Linked DNA regions of Struthio camelus. The protein of the gene in region 2 interacts with the protein of the main gene of each other region in a biochemical or structural test. Links are inferred from orthologs where the notes say so. Each region holds a gene or a part of one and is shown on either strand. Other genes may lie near its edges.

Region 1 (8,217 bases), on a different chromosome or scaffold from region 2:
TGGAAGATGGATAAGACAAAGGCTTGAAAGTATTTATTAATAACAGGGGATCACTAGAGACAAATTTGAAGAGAATCCATGACAATAGATAGGAGGGGAACAGAGAGAAGATGAGAAAGATGACTACTGGGAAATGAAGCTTTGAGATTTAAAAAAAAAAAAACACAGAATATCCAATAACTCTGAAGTGGCTACACTTTCAGTTGGATATTCAAAGCAAGTTAGTGAAAAGATTAAGTAAATACTGAAAATAGTTAAGAAGAAGAACTATACCTAGAGAGAGAGAGAGAACTCCTGGAAGAGTATTAACTGTATTGCTGAGTAATGGTATCCTAATTCATGCCACAGGATGCCAAAGAGTCTAATTAGTCAGGAAAGCACATTTCATTAAAATCTTAGCAATTCGTTGTGAAAAAATCCAACTGGATTGTAAGTTTAATAGACTTCCACTGTGTTCAGAAGCATATTATATTCTAAATACTTACAGAAAATGAAAAAATATAGTTTCAGAGACATATACAATAGTGTTTTATCCAAAATTGTGTTTGCAGTTGTCCATTTCTATTTGGGTACCACTGTATAAAGTCCTGCTGAGAGGCTAGGAAAAAAAAATTAGTATTTTTTTTGCTGAGTTGGTAAGCATTAGTGGAGACCACTAGCTATTTACTTAATCTACAGGCAATCTGAGACATGCTTGAAACTGTTGAAACAAATGAAAACAGTGCTGTCTGCACAACTCCTTTCCTTTCCTCCCTTCCCTCCTTTCCTTCTCTCCTTCTGTCCCTCCTTCCTCTCTCCCCTGCTCCCTTCCCTCCTTCCTCCCTCCCTGTTTCCATACAAGTTTTCACAGAGAGATTTTTTCATGAATGTACAGATAGATCTTCAGCTAGACTGAATTAGTGTCACTCACTTCATTTACATTTAGCTTTCAAAAACTGTGTATTTTGGTGAGCTTACATGCAAATAGTTACACGGTAAGACCTCAGTGTAGTAGGTTTCTGGAATCTTGAATGTTTTTGTCAAACCCTAAATAGGAGAAAAGAACATCAGAACTGTGCCTAGTCTGCTATTACCATACTCTGCTCACCCAAATTAATAAAAAGACAATTATATAAAAACATAAAAGACTATTCTTGTAGAGAGCAAATCAAAATTAAGTGTCATTTCCTCTTGGAAGATTTCTTACCTCTTAAATCTCGAGTATGGATAAAGTCAGTAACATGGAAGATTAAGCCTCCCTCTCATCATTATTCTGTGGTGAATTCATGTATTTTAAAATCCATTTATGCACATTTTAATCTATTTTTGAGATCTCCAGTTAATAGGTTTTCAGAGGTATGCACTTTTTATGGTTTTCCTTATAAACTGCATTCATAATAGTGAAGTGCTTTTTCCAAGTTCTTTAGAGAGTCACCATTACTTGTACTGACATCAGAAAGATGGTACTCGCTGATCTGACATAAACAAAATTATGGACACATTTAAGTTTCATTACGATCTTTCTTAGATAAAAATTTGAACAACATCTCCAAACTCAAACTGTAGCTGTATGATACTTCAGGCTACAAGAATGAAAATAGAAGTCTTTAGGCAAGAAAAGAAAAGGTGATGCATCTGAAAACGTATACAGAATTAGAAGGAAATACATAATATTAATGAGAATGAATTCTGCAAGTCCTTGTTCTCCAACATATCTTTCATTAAAATATTCCTCCCACATATAAGTGTAGAAATAGATTAGTATATGTTAGTATACTAATAACTACAGCAGGACTATTAAAGTTAATAATGGATTAACCCGCATGAGTGAGAATTACTTGCTTGTGAAGGACTAGGCTAGTTCTGTTGCTTCACATGTTTTATAAAATTATATATCTGTTACATAACTTCCTCCCACATGTATTTCACTTGGATTTGTTTGTTCCTTCTTCCTGCAATGAACCATTGCATAGTATTGCTGTGCACTATTCAACAAGCTCATAGGTAGCTTAAGTTTTCGTTAAGTAAGTTTACCCTTGTGCACAACACTTCCTAATTCTTAAAGAGCTTCTGCTCCTATGATGTCTATTAATGGGCTTCTTCTTTGGCTATCTGTTTCCCTTACAGAAAATAAATCTCTGACAAGCAATAAATGTTATCGGGGGGGGGGGAGAATAGTAATTTAGTGGGAAATTGCAATAAATGAATAATAATAATGAATATATTTGTTGCCTCCTCTACCATCCTTTAATATATAAAGGAAGTACACTGAGAATGGCATAGTGCAGACTGTATGGCAGATCAGGACATTCGTATTTAACTCTTCTCTCAATACAGGTTGTTTTCACTCAAAATCTCATCACTTATTACAATAGCTAGTAAACATTCTCAACCATCAATGTAATGCCAGACATTTCATTCATGAGGGAATAAATAATATCTAAGTGATATCAAAGTGAAGCAATGTAATTGAAATAAGCAGACACTAGTTTGTAGAAGAAAAAGGGAAAGCGCTCCTTAGAAGAATTAATGGCTTGAGTAATTTTCATATATACAATCTGGAAACAAATTTCAGATAATACTGAAGCAAGCATCAGCACCTTTGGAGTAAACAGTATCAATTTTCTTAAGCACTTTCTCAAAACTTTCTAAAAGAATTTGCATTTCATTTCTAACTATATAGGACATTACTTTCATGTGGTCTGAAAAACATAACAAGAATAAAAATAACACACACTTTTCACATGCAATTATGTTGTAAAAGAACCATTTTGATTTTGAAAATACAGTGGATCCCTTGATCCAGCCACCAAAGGCTGGATAGCTTTTGAAATTAGGAAGACTATATGCTTACAGTTTTGGACCAGCTGTGAAAAAAGTTCTATCTTAAATGCAAGAACTGTTTGATTCATACTTTGACTGGGAGGCTCACAAATCTAATAAGTTTGGTTTTGAGGAGTATTTGGTAGCTTCCCGTATACATTGCTATGGTCCTTCATAAGGACAGGGGATTAGAAAATATAAGCATTGGCAAAGCCAAGAGCCAGGAATTTCATGAAAAAAATTTGCAGGAGAGGCAGCCTTTTTCTATAGGATGCTCTTTGCTTATGTTAGCTCCAGGTCTTATTAGTTATGAATTTGTCAATAGTGCCTCAGTGTTTAAGTTTATAAGCCTCATTTAAAAAATGGTTTAGATACCTAAGTCTAGATTTATAAAGGTACTAAGTGCCTAAGCAGGTTAGGCACCTAACTCCTGATAAGCATGTTAGGTGCCTACTCCCAGCGCCTCCCAGGCATCCAGTCTTGATTTAGACACTTTTGAAGATGAACCAAGCATTTTTAGGCCTTTAAATATCTGACTGTAAAGAACTTAAGTCCTACTGACTTTCATGGGCATTTAAGGCAGGTGCCTAAGCACCTAGACTGTTAAGATTTTGTCTGGAAAAAACACACAACAAAAGATACAAAGCTCTCAATTCAGAGTGGCACCTTCCCAGTTAAAGCAACAAAACCCCAAGCCAACAGATTGACTCAAAACTGCAACAGCTGAATCGGATCAGAAGGTCATGAAAAAATAAGTGTTCAAATCAAGATCAAGCAGTCACAGGGGCATAGGAATTTTCCTTCTTTAATGGACTTCTTGCTGAATGCTTCTGAAGTAGCTTTACCAGTAATGGTTTTTATCCTTTAATTTACAAAAATAACATCAAAAGGGATGGACTGCATGTAACTGGGAGCTTTTTAAGAAACTGGAGGATGGGTATTCTTCACCATCTCCTTGGAGAATGTCAGCAATATTAAGGTTTTATTGCTCTTCTAATTACTATCTTTAGTTTTTATTTATTATTAATTACATGAAGATAATTGTGGATGAAGAATGGCTAAAAGAGAGGATAGGGACATGCATAAGAAAGCATCAGGGGAATGAGGTTAGTAGAAATAGTTTCACTGAAATGTTTTCTCAACAAAATGGCACTTTTGTCAAAGTGTAAAGGTTCAAAACATTGCTTTGGATGATAGCTTGTTCAGAAAAGTATCCTGAAATAGTCTTAAAATCTGAAAATTTTCATTGCAGAAAAAAACAACTTTAACTTTGAAGCATCAAGTATGTTTCAAATTTGTATTTCTCTACATCATACTCTATTTCATTAATTACGGTTTACAGTGGTTGAAAGGCTACTTTTTACGGTGGCAGGTAAAGACAGCTGCCCTGACAGAAAGGTATTTTTTTTTTTTTACATCAGCACGCATGACTTCTACAGGTATTTCAAGAACAGTGGAACCAAACTGAAATTCAAAGTACCGGAGGATTCTGCAGTGAAAATGAAAATTTTCAAATTTATTCCAGTTAGTCATTTCAGGGAAAATTCTGAAAATACCTGGTTTTCGCTTGGACCCAGAAGGACACGCCTTTCAATAAGTTAATTCAGCAGGGAGCTCAAGGTTTGAGTAACTTTTCTGGGGGTGCAACGGCTGAGCCTGAGAGGAGGCATCGCAGCAGGGACGAGGCCCGAAGCCCCCGAGGCGGCCGGTTGCGGCCGCGGCGCCGGCGCTTCAAGCCGGGCGGGGGCGAAATGGCGGCCGCGGCCGGAGGCGGGAAGGTGCGAGGGCGGCGCGGGGCGCCGGGCGTGCGGGCTGTCAGCTGCGAAGGGCGCGGTAGCGCGAGCGCGTCGAGAAGCAACACGTTTGAACGGTGGTTGTCCGGGGCAGCGACACAGGCCTGTGCGCTGGGGCAGAGAGAGCAAAGGATAGCGGTCACAGGGATCGGCGGGCGGCCGTTGGCTCTGAGGGGGGGGCATGGCTCGCGGGGCAGCGGGCTCGGCCGCGGCGGGCCCTGAGGGCGGGCTGAGGGACGGTGGCGGGCGGGAAGGGAAGCGCCGCGCTGCGCGGCGGCGAAGGGGTTAAGCCGCTGCCGCGGTTCTATTTGCGGCTGCCGCCGCTCCAGGCGATTAGCGCGCGGCTCCGCTCCCCCGCCCCGGCCGGCCGCGGGAGCGCGGCAGCAGCAGGTGGCGGTGGCCGCGGCCCCAGCGGCGGCGGCAGCAGCGAGGGAGTTAACCCTGTGGCGGCGGCGGTGAAGGGGGCAGCGGTGGCGGCGGCAGCGGCAGCAGCAGCAGCAGCAGCAGGGGGACTGAGGATCAGGCAGCAGCAGCAGCCGGGTTGCTAGGGATGGAGAGATCCCGTGTCACCCGGATGTGAGTGTCATGTTGGCCCAAACTCTAAGGGATTTGGCAGCGGCGGCAGCAGCAGCAGCGAAGCAGCAGCAGGAGCAGGAGCAGCAGCAGCCCCTCGTGTGTCGCTAGACACTACCATGGGGGTCGGATAGTGGGGAGCGCAGAGGGCAGCGCACACCTGGCTTGGGAGTGGGTCGGGGGCGTCGCTGCTTTTTTTCTTTCTTTCTTTTTTTTTTTCCTCCTTTTCTCACACACCGGAGAAAGTGAGAATAATGCATTACCACCAGCAGCAGGAGCAGCACCCTGAAGGTAAGAGCCGGAGCGCCCACCAAGGGCAGCAGCATCCCCGGGGCTGAGGGGAGGGGGAGGCGGGGGAGGATTTGTGAGGGATTTGGGAGACGGGGATTTGGGGGGGGGGAGGATTAGGGAAGGGGTTGAGGATGGGGTAGGTTTGGGGTGAGCGTTTGCGCTTGAGGAAGGGACCAGGAGAAAGGGCTCGGGGAATAGGAAGGGCACGGGATAAGGTTAAGTAGCGACAGGGATGCTGCCCTCGGTGCGTAACTAACATGGGAGCGGGTTTATACATGTCTGTTTCTGGCCTCAGGGCTGTTAATATCAGCTGGTTGGGCTGAGAGAGGCAGAGAGAGGACATGGCTTTGTGCATGTTTCTCTCTTATTTGTGTAATTGGGGATGAACCTGCCTGGAAATGCCGCTTCCCAGGGGCTTTCTTGGGCGGGGGGCGGGAGGGCAGGTGAGGGGTTATTACAGGGCTTTGGATACGATGTTTTCAGCCCACTTCCCCGTCACGTCGCTGCCAGGAGCGTGCAGAGAGACGACACATGGGGCTCCTATATGTTAATCTCCTTCGCAAACAGGCTCCGGCAGCGCTACATCCCCCATTGTTGTTGTTGTTGTTTTTAAAAAAAATGATTCCTCCCTCTTGAAATTAGCAGTAAGTTTGTATTTTTGTCCCTGCTGGAGGGCAGGGGTTCCCCCCGGGGAACACGGACACTCGGGCTTTGTTTCACTTTCAAGTATTGATTTTAAAATGATGACAGATAGATTGGTGGTTTATTTGTGCCGAGCCACGTTTCATGGCATTTCAAAAGGCTGGCGGAAAGGAGGGGGGGAAGAGATGGCTGTGCCGTTGCTTTTTAAAAAAAAAAAAAAAAAAGGCAAGAATCTTTCCCTTGGAAAAATGTTGGAGATTAAATTCACACCTTTCCCTCCGTGTCAAACCGTAACCGGCGGAGGAACTCCTCTTCTTGTGTAACCTAGGCAGGGACCAGCTGTTGATGTGCCGCTTGCTCTCTGATGGCCACCTCCGCCGCTCGCCATCCCTGCTGCTAGATCTGCGCGGAAAATCTGCTGGTTTCAGAGGGAAACGTGTGGGCTAAACCGGGGAGTGACACCCCCTCCCGGCACCGCCAGCCCCGGGAGCCATTTTAGTGCGCCCCCTCGTTCCCCGCGCGCCGCTTCCCGCCCTCACACACGGCGAGGCGCGGAGCGGGGCCGCGGGAGAGGCTCCCTCTGCTCTGCACACGCATACCCTGGGCTCGTACCTCTTTCTGTTATTTACTTCCCCCCCCATGCAGAGGAGGAGGAGTGTGATTTTTGTCGAGGGGACTTCGTGTCTCGTTTACGTGTGATGAGCAGCGATCGCCGGGGAGTTGTTTTCCTCTCCCGCCTCGGTAGCACCAGAATGAACTTTCAGTCATTCCGTCTGAAACTCCCCGTTCGCGTAATTGCGCCGTTCCTCCATTTTTTTCCCCACCCAGGCATCTTCAAGTTTTATATTTTCTTAGGAATATCTCCTTCCTACAGGTGCATTTAGGAGTAGGCTCTTGCTCTAGTCAAAGGGCTTACAAGGAAGGATCCTTGCTAGGTGGTGGTGTTTTGCCTTCTGTGCTGACATCTCGATTAACAGAACTTCAGTAACTGTTTTGGAGGTGAAATATGTTTTTTCCTTGTAAAAAATAAATAAATAAATAAAAGCATTTCTTTATAGTGGTTTCACTCGTGGAATTTGCGATGTGGAAGATACCAATACTTTATGAGTGTATTTATCACCAGACAGTATCTAATTTTCACTTGTTGGAGGCATCCATGCATTTTTCTTTGAGAATGCAGAATAGGGCAAGATTTAAGTTGCTTATAGGAATTTTTTTTGGTAGTATTTCAAAGAGTGTTGAATATTCTCAATTAAAAATGTGCAAGAACTTTAAACTACTACTTTTTTGATCAAAATGAAGTGAGGAAATAGTAAGTGTTCAGGTGCTATAACAAGTCGGTTATAAGAAGGAGGTATGGCTATTAGACTTGAGTATAGTGACATGAAAGCTGCTATCCAGTTTGGAACTGTGAACTAAATGGAAGAATCAAAATTTGAGATATTTCTCTGTGGTACTTGTCTTGACACTCAGATTAAACTTAAATTTATACTACTGATTCTTGAACCTTATTTTACTGTGCAATTACATAGATACTCATGCTATGCAGTATCTGTGGTGGAAGCATCACACCATCGAGACTTCTTAAAATCTTTTTATCAACAATGTTATGACATATTTTATCATAAAAAATATAACCAAGTACTTTTTTCTTTTTTTTTTCCTTCTCTCACAGAGGCGAACTATGCAAGTAGCACCAGAATTCCTCTCCCTGGTGACGGACCAACTATTCAGTCAAACAGTTCAGCACCATCCAAGCAAACTGTTCTGTCTTGGCAAGCTGCAATTGATGCTGCTAGACAAGCAAAGGCTGCCCAAAATATGAGTACTACCACAACCCAGCCTGTAGGATCTCTGTCCCAAAGAAAACGCCAGCAATATGCCAAGAGCAAAAAACAGGGTAACACGTCTAATAGTCGGCCACCCCGTGCCCTTTTCTGTTTATCCCTCAACAACCCAATACGAAGAGCCTGCATTAGTCTAGTAGAATGGAAGTATCCTCTGATGCAGTTTTCTTTTTTATCATCTGTTCTTTTGTGTTTTCCAAATGTATCAAGGAGATTGTCTTAACAACATCTCTTACAGCTTCTCAGCTACAACGTATTAGTTTGCCTGC
Region 2 (7,815 bases):
GTGTGAGCGTGCACTGGGGGGGTGAGTGTGCACAGGGCATGCGAGCGTGCATAAGGTGTGAGCGTGCGCAGGGTGTGTGAGCGTGCGCAGGGTGTGAGAGTGCGCTGGGGGTGTTTAAGCGTGCAAGGGGGTGGTGTGCGCGTGCACGGGGTGGTGTGAGCATGCATGGGGATATATGAGCTTGCACGGGGTGTGCAGGTGTACACAGGGCGTGTGCATTCGTGCACGGGGCGTGTGCGAGCTGCATGCAGCCGCGTGAGCGTGCACGGGCCATGTGCATTCGTGCACGGGGTGTGTGCGAGCCGCATGCAGCCGCGTGAGCGTGCACGAGGTGTGTGCAGGTGAACACAGGCTGTTGCGTGTGCGCCGCAGCAGCCCCGTGCGTGCACACGCGTGATGGTGCGCGCCCGCTTCAGGTGTGCAGACCTGCTCCCTCGGGCGTGCGCTGTTCCCTGCGCACGCACACGCTCCCTCAGGCGTGCACCCTTGCACGAACACGCTTCCTCACGCATGCACCCCTGTGCACGCACACGCTCTGTCGCATTTGCACCCCGTGGTGCACGCACACGCTCCGTCATGCGTGCACCCCTGTGCAGACACATCCTCTGTTGCATTTGCAACCCTGTCGTGCATGCACACGCGCCGTCATGCATGCATCCCGTGCATGCACACGCTCCATTGCACAAGTACCCCATCGTGCACACACACGCGCCATCATGCATGTATCCCGTGCATGCACATGCTCCGTTGCATTCGCAACCCCGTCGTGCATGCACACGTGCTGTCATGCATGCATCCCGTGCATGCACACGCTCCGTTGCACAAGTACCCCGTTGTGCATGCACACACACCGTCATGCGTGTGCCCCCGTGCATGCACATGCTCTGTCGCACACGCACCCCGTCGTGCACACACACGCACTAGCACGCATGCGCCCCGTGCATGCACGCGCTCCGTCGCACACGCACTAGCACGCATGTGCCCCGTGCATGCACGCGCTCCGTCGCACACGCACCCCGTCGTGCACGCACACGGCCCGCCACGTGTGCGCCCCCGCCCCCGCCCGCCGCCCCCGCAACTGGGACAAGGGCCCCCAATGTCACAGCGGCGCCGGGGCGGCAAATCTGGGTCTGGCGTGTGCGGGCGGGCGCAGCCGTGTCCCCCCCCGGGAGCCGCCCCACTTCCCTCGCCCGCTGCCAAATTTAGCCCGCCAAGGGCGACCCGGGGCGGCGCAGGCGTGTGCAGGCGTGTGCGGGGCCGGCGGGCGAGGGCGGCAGCGTGGCCGCGCGTGTGCAACCCGGCGCCTGGGGGCCCGTGTGCAAGCGTGAGCGGGTAGGCGCCTGTCTAAGCGTGTGGGTGGCGTGTGGGTGCTCGGGGACCCCCGCCGCGCTGCCCCGCACCCCTCCGCCCTGCAAGGGTGCCGTGTGGCTAAGCATGTGCGTGCACGTCCAAGCGTGTGCATGCACGTCCAGGTGTGTGCGTGCACACTAAGTGTGTGCAAGCGTGTGGGTGGCGTGTGCAAGCGTGTGAGTGGCGTGTTGGTGCTCAGGGACCCCCGCCGCGCTGCCCCGCACCCCTCCGCCGTGCAAGCGTGCAGCGTGACTAAGCGTGTGCACGCACACCCAAGCACACATATGCACACCCAAGTGTGTGGGTGCTCGGGGACCCCTGCCGCGCTGCCCCGCACCCCTCCGCCGTGCAAGCGTGCAGCGTGACTAAGCGTGTGCACGCACACCCAAGCGCACATATGCACACCCAAGTGTGTGGGTGCTCAGGGACCCCCACCGCACTGCCCGGCACCCCTCCGCTCTGCAACGGTGCAGCGCGGCCAGGCGTGTGCACGCACACCCAAGCACGTGCACGCACACCCATGCATGTGCAAGCGTGTGGGTGGCGTGTGTGTGCTCAGGGACCCCCGCCGTGCTGCCTCGCACCCCTCTGCCCTGCAAGGGTGCAGCATGGCCAGTTGTGTGCATGCACGCCCAGGCGTGTGCAAGCGTGTGGGTGCTGGGGGACCCCCGCCGCGCTGCCCAGCACCCCTCCACCCTGCAAGCGTGCAGCGCAGTCGAGCGGGTGCATGCACGCCCAAGCACATGTGTGCACACCCAAGTGTGTGCATGGTGTGCAAGCGTGTGGGTGGCGTGTGGGTGCTCAGAGACCCCCGCCTTGCAGCCCGGCACCCCTCCGCCCTGCAAGGGCGAAGCACGGCCGAGCGTGTGCACGCACACCCCAGCCCATGCTTGCACACGCAAGCGTGTGCATGCACACCCAAGCAGACGTATGCGCACCCAAGCGTGTGCAAGTGTGTGGGTGGCGTGTGGGTGCTCAGGGACCTCCACCTTGCTGCCTGGCACCCCTCTGTCATGCAAGCGTGCACCGTGGCCAAGCGTGTGCACGCACACTCAAGCATGTGCATGCACACCCAAGTGTGTGGGTGGCGTGTGGGTGCTCGGGGACCTCCGCCTTGCTGCCCGGCACCCCTCTGCCCTGCACGCGTGCACGCACGCCCAAGCACACACATGCACACCCAAGCATGTGCAAGCATGTGCAAACATGTGGGTGGCGTGTGGGTGCTCAGAGACCCCCACCATGCTGCCCGGCACCCCTCCGCCCTGCCAGCGTGCACCGCGGCCAAGCGTGTGCATGCACGCCCAAGCACACGCATGCACACCCAAGCGTGTGTGGGTGCTCGGGGACCTCTGCCTTGCTGCCCGGCACCCCTCCGCCCTGCACGCATGCACGCACGCCCAAGCACACGCATGCACACCCAAGCGTGTGCAAGTGTGTGGGTGGCGTGTGGGTGCTCAGAGACCCCCCGCCTTGCTGCCCTGCACCCCTCCGCCCTGCCAGCGTGCACCGCGGCCAAGCGTGTGCATGCACGCCCAAGCACATGCATGCACACCCAAGCGTGTGCAAGTGTGTGGGTGGCGTGTGGGTGCTCAGAGACCCCCCGCCATGCTGCCCTGCACCCCTCCGCCCTGCCAGCGTGCACCGCGGCCAAGCGTGTGCATGCACGCCCAAGCACACGCATGCACACCCAAGTGTGTGCAAGCAGGTGGGTGGCGTGTGGGTGCTCAGAGACCCCCCGCCATGCTGCCCTGCACCCCTCTGCCCTGCCAGCGTGCACCGCGGCCAAGCGTGTGCATGCACGCCCAAGCACACGCATGCACACCCAAGCGTGTGCAAGTGTGTGGGTGGCGTGTGGGTGCTCAGAGACCCCCGCCTTGCTGCCCGGCACCCCTCTGCCCTGCCAGCGTGCACCGCGGCCAAGCGTGTGCATGCACGCCCAAGCACACGCATGCACACCCAAGCGTGTGCAAGTGTGTGGGTGCTCGGGGACCTCTGCCTTGCTGCCCGGCACCCCTCCGCCCTGCACGCGTGCACGCACGCCCAAGCACACGCATGCACACCCAAGCGTGTGCAAGTGTGTGGGTGGCGTGTGGGTGCTCAGAGACCCCCCGCCATGCTGCCCTGCACCCCTCCGCCCTGCCAGCGTGCACCGCGGCCAAGCGTGTGCATGCACGCCCAAGCACACGCATGCACACCCAAGTGTGTGCAAGCAGGTGGGTGGCGTGTGGGTGCTCAGAGACCCCCCGCCATGCTGCCCTGCACCCCTCTGCCCTGCCAGCGTGCACCGCGGCCAAGCGTGTGCAAGTGTGTGGGTGGCGTGTGGGTGCTCAGGGACCCCCGCCTTGCTGCCCGGCACCCCTCCGCCATGCCAGCGTGCACCGCGGCCAAGCGTGTGCACGCACACCCAAGCACATGCATGCACACCCAAGCACGTGCAAGCATGTGGGTGGCGTGTGGGTGCTCGGGGACCTCCGCCTTGCTGCCCAGCACCCCTCCGTCGTGCAAGCGTGCACCGCGGCCAAGCGTGTGCACGCACACCCAAGCGTGTGCAAGCGTGTGGGTGGCGTGTGGGTGCTCAGGGACCTCCGCCTTGCTGTCCGGCACCCCTCCTCCCTGCCAGCGTGCACCGCGGCCAAGCGTGTGCACGCACACCCAAGCGTGTGCAAGTGTGTGGGTGGCGTGTGGGTGCTCAGGGACCTCCGCCTTGCTGTCCGGCACCCCTCCGTCGTGCAAGCATGCACCGTGGCCAAGCGTGTGCACGCACACCCAAGCGTGTGCAAGCGTGTGGGTGGCGTGTGGGTGCTCAGAGACCCCCGCCTTGCTGCCCGGCACCCCTCCGCCCTGCCAGCGTGCACCGCGGCCAAGCGTGTGCACGCACACCCAAGCGTGCGCGAGCGGGTGGGTAGCGCGTGGGCGTTCGGGGCGCGGCGCGGGGTGGGGGCAGCGCGTGACGGGTGGCCTGTGCCCGGCAGGGGCGCGTGTGATGGTGGCGGCGGGCGGCCGCCGGCAGCATGCCGCGCTCGCCGCCGCCCTCCAGCGAGGAGGAGGAGGAGGAGGAAGGGGGCCGCGCGTCGGAGGGGCCCGAGGGCGACTCGGACTCGGGCAGCTGGCGGGCCGGCCCCGCTAAGCCGGCGCCCGGGCGGCCCCGCGCCGGCCCCCGCCGCCCCCCGCCGCCCCCCGCCGCCGCCGACGGCCACTTCAGCATGATGGTCTTCCGCATCGGCATCCCTGACCTGCACCAGACGGTGAGCTGGGGGGGGGGAGCCCCAAAAATGGGGAGGGGGCACCCCAAAAATTGGGGGGGTGCCTCTCAGGGGCTGGGGGGGAGCCCACAATTGGGGGGGGAGCCAAAAATGGGACACCTCAGGGGTGGGAGGGGACCCTGAAAATTGGGAGGCATCTCGGGGGTGGGGGACCCCAAAATTGGGGGGCACCCAAAATGGGGCAACCCAGGGTTGAGGGGACCCCAAAAATGGGGGGGTCCCAAAAATGGGGCATCCCGGGGGTGGGGGGACCCCAAAATTGGGGGGGAGCCAAAAAAGGGGCACCTCTGGGGTGGGGGGGACCCTGAAAATTGGGCACCCTGGGTGTGGTGGGACCCTGAAAATGGGGGGATCCCAAAAATGGGGCATCCCGGGGTGGGGGGGACCCCTAAAATGGGGGAGGCATCTCAGTGGTGTGGAGACCCCAAAATTGGGGGGGACCCCGAAAATGGTGGGCATTTTGGGGGTGGGGGACCCCAAAATTGAGTGGAGCCAAAAATGGGGCATCCCGGGGTGGGGGGACCCCAAAAATGGGGGGACCCCGAATATGGGGCAGCTCGGGGGTGGGGGGACCCCGAAATGGGGGGGAGCCAAAAATGGGGCATCCCAGGGGTGGGTGGGACGATGGGGGACCCCAAAATTGGGGGGAAATCCCAAAAATGGGGCACCTTGAGGTGGGGGTGGACCCCGAAAATGGGGGGACCCCGAAAATGGGGGGGTCCAGAAATGGGGGGTGCCCAGAAATGGGGCACCCTGGGGGTGGGGGGAACACAAAAATGGGTGGGTACCCCAAAAATGGGGCACCTTGGGGGTGGGGGTGACCCCAAAATTGGGGGGGGTCTCCACAGATGGTGGAGCACACTAGGGGTAGGGAGGACCCAAAAAAGGGGGGGCAGCAGGGATGGGGGAGCCCCAAAAATGGGGGGAACCTCGGGGGTGGGATGGGGGAACCCCCAAAATAGGGGGGGCACTGGGAATGGGGGGGACCCCCAAAATGAGGGATAAATCTGAGAAATGGGGGAGGGGAACCCCAAAAAGGGGAGGGAAATCCCAGGAAATGGGGGGGGACCCCCCCAAAATGAGGGGAAAATCCCCAAATGTGGGGGAGGGGGCCAAAAAATTGGGGGAGAACCCCGAAAATGGGGGAAATTAACCCAAATTGGGGAGAACCTAAAGAAGTGGGGGGGGATGACCCAAAATTGGGGGGGAGAGGACAAAATAGGGGGAGAGATCCTGAAATTTTGGGGGGAGGGTACCAAAATTGGGGGGGGAACCTTGAAAAATGGGGAGGGGGGGACAAATATGGGGGCACCAAAGCACGGGGGGGGCGCAAAATATGTGGGGGACTAAAATATGGGGGGGGCACGACATGGGGACCCCAAAATAAGAGGGAGACCCCAAAATGGGGGGGGACCATGAAATTTGGGGGGGGACCAAAATAGAGGGGGGACCAAAATGTAGGGGGGCAGGGTTTTGGGGGGGCCAAAATGGGGGTCGGACTAAGCGCACGTGGGGGGCCGGAGCGTGGGGCGGACCCGCAAAAAAGGCGGGAAACCGCAAAATGGCGGGGACGGACCCAAATTGGGGCCGTTTTTGGGGCCGATCGGGGCCGTTTCTCACCCAGCATCGCCGGGGCGGCTGCGGGGGCCATTTTTGGGGCTGATTGTGGCGTTTCGGGGGCCGTTTCGGGGCCGAGCGGGGCCGTTTCTCGCCCAGCATCGCCGGGGCGGCTGCGGGGGCCATTTTTGGGGCTGATTGTGGCGTTTCGGGGCCGTTTCGGGGCCGAGCGGGGCCGTTTCTCGCCCAGCATCGCCGGGGCGGCTGCGGGGGCCGTTTCGGGGCCGTTTCGGGGCCGAGCGGGGCCGTTTCTCGCCCAGCATCGCCGGGGCGGCTGCGGGGGCCGTTTCGGGGCCGTTTCGGGGCTGAGTGGGGCCGTTTCTCGCCCAGCATCGCCGGGGCGGCTCCGGGGGCCGTTTCGGGGCCGTTTCGGGGCCGTTTCGGGGCCGAGCGGGGCCGTTTCTCGCCCAGCATCGCCAGGGCGGCTCCGGGGGCCGTTTTTGGGGCCATTTTGGGTCGAGCGGGGCTGTTTCTCGCCCAGCATCACCGGGGCGGCTGCGGGGGCCGTTTCGGGGCCGAGCGGGGCCGTTTCTCGCCCAGCATCGCCGGGGCGGCTGCGGGGGCCGTTTCGGGGCCGAGTGGGGCCGTTTCTCACCCAGCATCTCCGGGGTGGCTGCGGGGGCCGTTTTGGGGCCGTTTCGGGGCTGTTTCGGGGCCGTTTCTCGCCCAGCATCTCTGGGGCGGCTGCGGGGGCCATTTCGGGGCCGTTTCGGGGCCAAGTGGGGCCGTTTCTCGCCCAGCATCGCCGGGGCGGCTGCGGGGGCCGTTTCGGGGCCGTTTCGGGGCCGTTTCGGGGCCGAGCGGGGCTGTTTCTTGCCCAGCGTCGCCGGGGCGGCTGCGGGGGCCGTTTCGGGGCCGTTTCGGGGCCGAGCGGGGCTGTTTCTTGCCCAGCATCGCCGGGGCGGCTGCGGGGGCCGTTTCGGGGCCGTTTCGGGGCCGAGCGGGGCCGTTTCTTGCCCAGCATCGCCGGGGCGGCTGCGGGGGCCGTTTCGGGGCCGTTTCGGGGCCGAGCGGGGCCGTTTCTTGCCCAGCGTCGCCGGGGCGGCTGCGGGGGCCGTTTCGGGGCCGTTTCGGGGCCGAGCGGGGCCGTTTCTTGCCCAGCATCGCCGGGGCGGCTCCGGGAGCCATTTTGGGGCTGTTTCGGGGCCGAGCGGGGCCGTTTCTCGCCCAGCGTCGCCGGGGCAGCTGCGGGGGCCGTTTCGGGGCCGTTTTGGGGCTGAGCGGGGCCGTTTCTCGCCCAGCGTCGCCGGGGCGGCTCCGGGGGCCGATTCGGGGCTGATTGCGGCGTGTCGGGGGCCGTTTCGGGGCCGAGCGGGGCCGTTTCTCGCCCAGCGTCGCCGGGGCGGCTGCGGGGGCCGTTTCGGGGCTGTTTCGGGGCCGAGTGGGGCCGTTTCTCGCCCAGCATCACGGGGCGGCTGCGGGGGCTGTTTTTGGGGCTGATTGTGGCGTTTCGGGGGCCGTTACGGGGCCGAGCGGGGCCGTTTCTTGCCCAGCATCGCCGGGGCGGCTCCGGGAGCCATTTTGGGGCCGTTTCGGGGCTGAGCGGGGCCGTTTCTCGCCCAGCATCGCCGGGGCGGCTCCGGGG
Region 3 (7,944 bases), on a different chromosome or scaffold from region 2:
TCTGAAGTGAATGTCTGAGCAGTCATCTACTATAGATGTTCACGTAGGTTTCCTGCCAGCAAAATTACATCAACTTATAAAATAACATAAACTAAGCTGACAGAAGTCCTTTTTTGCTAGCAGACTGTGTCCACACTAGAGGTTTTGTTGGCTTGGAGATGTTGGCTGGAGAGTATATGCTGACATAGCTATTCTGGTGAAACTTTGCAATATACACCAGGTCTTTGTATTAAATAACCCACATCAGAGCTGGCTACAGGGGATACGCTTCGCATGCGTTCTGGAGCACCAACCCAAGTCTTCATTTTGCAGACATGTAAGCTTTCTTTTATTTATGGCTGTTTTTTCACTGACATATATGAAAGCAGGTAGATGTAGTTAATGACTACCAAAGGGAGGAAGCATGCACGCTCTTCATGATCTGCACCGTGTAATTGCTAGTCAGTTACCCAGGAAGGAGACTTTTCAAGGGAATCCTGAAGGTTTTATCTTAAGACATCACACCTGCATCTTCACCTATATAAGCTTTCTCAGAGAAACACATTAATGCATGCAAGGCTTTTCTACAAAGCAGGGACGGATCTAGATTAAAAATGACAACATATGGTATTGCTTCTTTAAACCATTAGACGCTCATTTTCTAAGGATATGTTTGAAAGTGCACCTACTCTGATTGCTTGGCTTTCCACTGAAGCATAGATACTGCTCTTGAACTCGCTGCTAGAAGGCGGACTACTAAGAGGGCGCGCCTGAAGAGCTGCGCTTTCACAGATCTTTCAGTCGAACACCAGAATTTCTGTTGAGCAGCACATAAAAATGAGTTGCATTCATGTTATTGTTGTATTTTTTACACTGGATGATACTACTGAAGTTTAGAACAGGTGGGTATATGCTTAGTCATGGAATGCAATGCTGTCTTATGGAAGCGGTCTAATTAATTTATATGAGATGTCAGCGTGAATGAGATTGTCGGAGTCTTGCCTTTAATTGGCATGTCATTTGGAAAGGAATGTAACAGGTAGATAGGTGTGTCTGTAGGGAAGGGTACAGAGGAAGGCCTGGAGGAAGCATAACAGCCTTTTTAAAGGCTACGTGAAAAAGCACTTATGTTCAGATCGTTATCTACACAATAGCCACATACACGCAATCATCTGATATGCAAGGGTTTTAAACAAGGAAATTGCAGAAAAAAAATTATATGTAATATCTACATAACCCTGCAGCAGGTGCTTAATTAGCACAGCTGTCTGAGCTAGTAAAACTGCTAGCAAGTGACCCAGCAAGGAAGCAGTAGAAGAATGGCACAAAAGATAGCAGGGAAAATTCTCAGGGAAGGGAAGTGTAAACAAGTCTCAGGAGTACTGTGCTTCCTGATCAGAAACATAGCAGATGTGGCAAAAAATACAAGGAGGAGATCTGCCTAGCCAGTGGAAACACGAACAGGAAAGGTAAGGAAAAATAAATAAATGACAGCATACTTGTTGAAGCAAGGAAACCAGGAAATGCACAAGCAAGAGCAACTCCTGTTCCCCTGATCTGAGCCTAATGCAGAATTGATGTACTTAAACTGTGACTCTCGGAGTCTGCAGCGCTAAGCTGAAACGTAGCGCTAACCAAGGGATAAGGACTGCTCAGGAGACAGGTCCTAGTTTCAACTCAGAGGAGCCAAAGGCAGCTCAGAACAGGCCACGCTACTTCTTAAGGCAAGACATCAGGAAAATCAGATCAGGAAAAACATGGCTTACCTGAGACTTTTCTAATGTGGGTTCAGATTAGGGAGGAGGACGCGTTCTTATCAGTCAGCGCCAGCGTAGCCTGCAGTCCGCCCAAACTACAGAAATAAAATGAAGAAACATATCACTAAAATGGTGTGTTTGTGTAGCGAACGCGTAATGTCTGTACACATACAGTCATGAAGACGCTGTATGCTTCCTACAGTAAAAACCAGCCCCAAATTGGGAAGTGAGCGGTACTACTCCTTACAGACGGAGCTAGGGAATTTCAGCAAATTTGGGGTCACATCAGCACCGTTCAAAAGCCATTTCGAGTCTGCCACGGGAAAATGAAAGATTCAAAAGGAGCTGAACTTGCACAAATTAAAATTGATTTGGAGAAAAAGCCTCAGGGATGCATTGTGATGACAGCTACGCCTTTTCACGTAGGGTAAATGGAGGGCACGTGACTGCGACGGGGGGTCAGGACAGACCCAAACAGCAGCAGGGCGATGCTGGAAGTATCTGCCCCTGTGGAGAGCAACTTGTAAAGACATGACAAAACTCTGCACTAAATTCCTACGGGCAACAGGGGGCTAAACCGTTTCGCAAGCGCTGACGAGCGCGGGCAGGCCGCGTTACCACGCGCGTCTCCCCCTCCTGCCCCGCGACGTGGCTCTCGTGGCCGCAGGACCGCTACGTTACGCCACAAAACTGCTGGGATAAATTAACCCAAGGAAGCATCATCGCTCTGCTTCCAAAGACCAGGGAGGTGACCGCCGCGCTTCCCGCACGACGCTTTAAAAACAGGGAACTGCGCGGACAGAAGGTCTTCCAGCCGCGGGGGGCGAGGAGCCGCCCCGAGGGGAACCCGCTGCCCCCCCCGGGCCCACTCCGAGGGGAACCCGCTGCCCCCCCCCACTGCTCCGAGGGGAACCCGCCGCCCCCCCCGGGCCCACTCCGAGGGGAACCCGCTGCCCCCCCCCCCACTGCTCCGAGGGGAACCCGCCGCCCCCCCCGGGCCCACTCCGAGGGGAACCCGCTGCCCCCCCCCACTGCTCCGAGGGGAACCCGCCGCCCCCCCCGGGCGCCGCTCCGAGGAGAACCTGCTGCCCCCCCCGCCCCGCTCTGAGGAGAACCGCCCCCCCCGCCCCGCCCTGAGGAGAACCGCCCCCCCCGCCCCGCCCTGAGGAGAACCGCCCCCCGCCCCACCCTGAGGAGAACCGCCCCCCCCGCCCCGCCCTGAGGAGAACCGCCCCCCGCCCCACCCTGAGGAGAACCGCCCCCCCCGCCCCGCCCTGAGGAGAACCGCCCCCCCCGCCCCATCCTGAGGAGAACCGCCCCCCCCGCCCCGCTCTGAGGAGAACCGCCCCCCCCGCACTGCCCTGAGGAGAACCGCCCCCCCCCCGCACTGCCCTGAGGAGAACCGCCCCCCCACCCCGCTCTGAGGAGAACCGCCCCCCGCCCCACCCTGAGGAGAACCGCCCCCCCCGCCCCACCCTGAGGAGAACCGCCCCCCCCGCCCCACCCTGAGGAGAACCGCCCCCCCCGCCCCGCTCTGAGGAGAACCGCCCCCCCCGCCCCGCTCTGAGGAGAACCGCCCCCCCCGCCCCGCTCTGAGGAGAACCGCCCCCCCCGCCCCACCCTGAGGAGAACCGCCCCCCCCGCCCCGCCCTGAGGAGAACCGCCCCCCCCGCCCCATCCTGAGGAGAACCGCCCCCCCGCCCCACCCTGAGGAGAACCGCCCCCCCCGCCCCGCCCTGAGGAGAACCGCCCCCCCCGCACTGCCCTGAGGAGAACCGCCCCCCCCGCCCCGCCCTGAGGAGAACCGCCCCCCCCGCCCCATCCTGAGGAGAACCGCCCCCCCCGCACCGCCCTGAGGAGAACCGCCCCCCCCGCACTGCCCTGAGGAGAACCGCCCCCCCCCGCCCCGCTCTGAGGAGAACCGCCCCCCCCGCCCCGCCCTGAGGAGAACCGCCCCCCCCGCCCCATCCTGAGGAGAACTGCCCCCCCCGCCCCGCTCTGAGGAGAACCGCCCCCCCGCCCGCCCCGCTCTGAGGAGAACCGCCCCCCCCGCCCGCCCCGCCCTGAGGAGAACCGCCCCCCCGCCCCGCCCTGAGGAGAACCGCCCCCCCCGCCCCGCCCTGAGGAGAACCGCCCCCCCCGCCCCGCTCTGAGGAGAACCGCCCCCCCGCCCCGCCCTGAGGAGAACCGCCCCCCCCCGCCCCGCTCTGAGGAGAACCGCCCCCCCCGCCCGCCCCGCCCTGAGGAGAACCGCCCCCCCCGCCCCGCTCTGAGGAGAACCGCCCCCCCGCCCCATCCTGAGGAGAACCGCCCCCCGCCCCACCCTGAGGAGAACCGCCCCCCCCGCCCCGCCCTGAGGAGAACCGCCCCCCCGCCCCATCCTGAGGAGAACCGCCCCCCCCGCCCCGCCCTGAGGAGAACCGCCCCCCCGCCCCGCCCTGAGGAGAACCGCCCCCCCGCCCCGCCCTGAGGAGAACCGCCCCCCCCGCCCCGCCCTGAGGAGAACCGCCCCCCCCGCCCCGCTCTGAGGAGAACCGCCCCCCCGCCCCGCCCTGAGGAGAACCGCCCCCCCGCCCCGCCCTGAGGAGAACCGCCCCCCCGCCCCATCCTGAGGAGAACCGCCCCCCCGCACTGCCCTGAGGAGAACCGCCCCCCCCGCACTGCCCTGAGGAGAACCGCCCCCCCCGCCCCATCCTGAGGAGAACCGCCCCCCCCGCACCGCCCTGAGGAGAACCGCCCCCGCCCCGCCCCCCGGCCCCCCCGCGGCGCAGCGGTGGGGGGTGCTCCCCGCCCCGCAGCCCAAGCTCCGAAGTTTCCGCGGCAGTTGCATAACTGCCGTCGCGCGGGGGGGGGGTGGCTGGCCCGGCCCGGCCCCCGCCCCCGCCCCCGCCCCGCCGCGGCTCGGCCCGGCCCGGCCCGGGGGCGGGCGCCGCGCTGCCCGGGGCTGACCCGCCCGCCCCTCCCGCCCGCCGGGACACGGCGCTGCTGGCGGGGCGCAGAGGCACTGCCCGCCCCGCGCCGCCCGCCGCCCGCCCGGCACCCACGGCCCGTCCTCGGCGGCGGCCCCGGCCCCGGCACCGCCCGCCGGGCCGCCCGCGCCCGCCGCCGCCGCCGACGGCGGCAAGATGAACGGGGCGCCGCCGCCGCCGCCGGGGCAGCAGGTGATCCACGTCACGCAGGACCTGGACACGGAGCTGGAGGCGCTCTTCAACGCCGTCATGAACCCCAAGCCCAGCTCCTGGAGGAAGAAGATCCTGCCCGAGTCCTTCTTCAAGGAGCCCGACTCGGGCGCGCACTCGCGGCAGTCCAGCACGGACTCGGGCGGCCCGCCGCCGCCGCGGCCCGCCGCCGCCCAGCACGTCCGCTCCCACTCCTCGCCCGCCTCGCTGGTGGGCGCGGGCGCGGGCGCGAGCGCGGCGCCGCAGCACGCGCACCTCCGCCAGCGCTCCTACGACGTGACGGACGAGCTGCCGCTGCCGCCCGGCTGGGAGATGGCGCTCACGCACACGGGACAGCGGTACTTCCTCAAGTGAGTGCCGGCGGCGGGCGGCGGGACCCCGGGCGGGCGGCGGGACCCCGGGCGGGCGGCGGGACCCCGGGGCTTCGGGCCTGGCAGGTGGGCGCCAGGGCCGGCGGCGGCGGGCGGCTCGGGCGCCTCGACCTGCGCTTGGGCGCCGCCCGCTAGGCCGCGGCGGAGCCGGCACGCCGCTCCCTGACGGGCCCGGGCGCTGGTCACGGGGGTCGCCGCGCGTGGCAAGGGGACGTGGGGCCGCAGGCGGCGGGCCGGCACCCCGGCCCGGCCCCTCCGCCAGCCCCCGCGCGCGGCGCCCGCCGCTGCTCACCCTCGGGCCCCGGTCCGTTTTGGCCACGCGTTCCGTTTCTGACGGACAGCAGCGCGCTAGGGCCTGAAGACACGTAGCGACCGTAAGGAGCCGCTGCAGCGTGTGATCCAGCGCCTGGCTTGGCTCCGGGCTCGCCGCAGGTTAAGCGGCCCCTTAGGGACTGGGCCAACAGGCGGTAGCCCCGTACTAGTGAAGGCCCTGCCTAGGAGGGAGGTTAACGGCCAGCGCTGCAGGAGGCAGTTTGCCCCTTCGCTACGACCTTCTTGGTCAGGAGAAGAAGTAGTAGTTTGAGTTCAGCCGTTTACAATGTTTCCTTTTTAGAAAAATCAGTAAATACGTAATTCATCTCCTGGTGCAGTGATTTCATTACCTGGAGGCTTTGGAATCTCCAAAGGATTATTCAAAAACCAAGACAGCCTCTGAAGTTACTCCGAAGAATTTGGATTCTTGCCTCTTGTCACACTCCAAGTTACTAGCAAAGTGTGAAAACTAATTTCCTTTCTTTTGCCACTCTGTGTGTTAGTATATGTGATTTATAATGTTGGGTGGCCACGTACCAGGGTTCAGACTTGTGAATTTTTTACTGATCTCATTTACCACCTACGCGAGGAGATCTTGTTGCGCTGCATCTTGCATATGTTTTTTCTCAAGAAAGCAGGCCAGAGAAGAGGAAGCTGATAGGAGCACTGTAACAGATCGTTTGGAGATAAATATTTTGTGTAAATACTTACTAGGGTTTGGCCAGCAGGTGTTTTCAGATTCTTGTTAAAAACGATGTAACATAATTTTTGTCTGCTGTTTGGCTTTTGGTTGATATCGAAATGAGTTCCTGTGGTTTCATCTTTCCCATCACACATGTCTGACAGAGAGGCTTTTCCCTATCACCAAACGCTGATGAATTCCTGCTGCTTGGACCAAAAATGCGAGTCTCTTATTCGAAAAGCTGTGGGGAAAACCCAAAAGTGTCTTTTATATTTTTTCCAAATCACATCAACAATAATCGAATCGGTGAACGTTTTGAGAAACTTTATTTTGTGAATCTGCTTTTATTCTGTTTTTTATACCTCTTAAAAGTAGAATATTCTGCTTAACAATATCCTTTTTTTTTAATATACGAGTGTAATTTGTTACCTAAGGTAGACTTTCTGTTTTGTTTAACCAGTTTTATTTAGAACTTTTAAAAATTTCTGTAATAATTAAGTGGTATAAATTATTTCATTATTACTCAGTAATAGTTTTGGGAGGTAATACTCAGCTATAAAACGACCATCTATGAATTATAATATTTTGCCGTGGTGTAATGTTTTTCAGGTGAAAATAGCGTTTTCTACAGAAATTTAATCCTGTTTATGGAAAGCGGCGTTTAAAACTGTGCAAAATAATATATAGTGTTTAAGTCAGATGATTCATTTGGAAACACTCTTTGGTCAAACCTGGCATATAAGGTTACATTTATGTATACCCGAGGGCTGCCTGTCAAAAAAAGTCACCATTTCTTTTCAGCTTAATGCTATGCACATGTGTATAGTCATTGGCAAAAGAAAATTGAGAAGGAGGTGGAGAGCAACTAGCAAAAAACTAGGTTGTATTAAAGCCTTTATGATCTGTTGAGGTTTGAAATGCAATTTGTTTTACTTAAATGTATTATCAAGAATTACTAAACGAAAGTAACGATGGGACTTTAAATGAGCAGTGAGCCTTAGTTGGCCTCGTTGACCAGGAACCAGCTATAACTTGCAGAAATCACGGCCTTGCGTGTCAGTTCCTGCATAAGTTTTCTGGCTGTGACTGGAAGAAACATAAGTAGCCTCGGGACCACTCCACCCTGTAATTAAATACCAAGCCACAGAAGTGGGGGATGGAAAACAGACTAATAAACACACACTCACTTACAGCAATGTTATCTAAAGCATTTTTCTGTGTGTGCATGTGTGGGGGGAAAAAAAAAGTTTAAGTGTGACTTCTTTCTGATAAAAAGGATTTCTGGAAAGATGGGCAAAATGCCTTGTGTAGCTCTTACGTTGGTAAGTGGGAATATCAGTTGCCTATTGATCCACATGCTGAACTGTGTACACATATTCTGTCATCAGAATTTTTCAAGTATTGCTTTCTGCCAGTTTGATTTTAGGTACTGCAGCCTCGTATTTCAAATGAAGTGTAAGGCTTTAGTGTTTTCTCGGTGTGTGTGTGCCGTGCTTCTGATCAGACTGTGACTTCACTCCAGGAGGTAAACACATCTGTATAGAGAGTATGATGTTTGCACTGAGCCGATTTGTGAAACTTGTTGCTGCTGTTACCTTTATCACAGCGGTTTTTAAAAACGTTACGGTAAACATTTGCCGTATGAGGACATATTTGCCAGTAAA

What was found. The genes of interacting proteins can lie anywhere in the genome.
Region 1: the proteins of SHANK1 (region 2) and CACNA1D interact in a biophysical measurement, tested with the Homo sapiens proteins (2 studies listed by IntAct, with this or other methods). The link is inferred for Struthio camelus from reciprocal best matches to the Homo sapiens genes SHANK1 and CACNA1D.
Region 3: the proteins of SHANK1 (region 2) and WWTR1 interact in a test that uses a peptide from one of them, tested with the Homo sapiens proteins (2 studies listed by IntAct, with this or other methods). The link is inferred for Struthio camelus from reciprocal best matches to the Homo sapiens genes SHANK1 and WWTR1.

What each region holds. Positions count from the first base shown.
Region 1 is NC_090955.1:17,400,571-17,408,787, reverse strand, and holds the start of CACNA1D (voltage-dependent L-type calcium channel subunit alpha-1D), read left to right. Parts: upstream 1-5,090; 5' UTR 5,091-5,422; coding exon 5,423-5,459; intron 5,460-7,776; coding exon 7,777-8,095; intron 8,096-8,217. UniProt on the Homo sapiens protein: Voltage-sensitive calcium channels (VSCC) mediate the entry of calcium ions into excitable cells and are also involved in a variety of calcium-dependent processes, including muscle contraction, hormone or neurotransmitter release, gene expression, cell motility, cell division and cell death.
Region 2 is NC_090975.1:52,988-60,802, forward strand, and holds the start of SHANK1 (SH3 and multiple ankyrin repeat domains protein 1), read left to right. Parts: upstream 1-4,522; 5' UTR 4,523-4,553; coding exon 4,554-4,595; intron 4,596-7,815. UniProt on the Homo sapiens protein: Seems to be an adapter protein in the postsynaptic density (PSD) of excitatory synapses that interconnects receptors of the postsynaptic membrane including NMDA-type and metabotropic glutamate receptors via complexes with GKAP/PSD-95 and Homer, respectively, and the actin-based cytoskeleton.
Region 3 is NC_090950.1:34,065,543-34,073,486, forward strand, and holds the start of WWTR1 (WW domain-containing transcription regulator protein 1), read left to right. Parts: upstream 1-4,817; 5' UTR 4,818-4,861; coding exon 4,862-5,265; intron 5,266-7,944. UniProt on the Homo sapiens protein: Transcriptional coactivator which acts as a downstream regulatory target in the Hippo signaling pathway that plays a pivotal role in organ size control and tumor suppression by restricting proliferation and promoting apoptosis.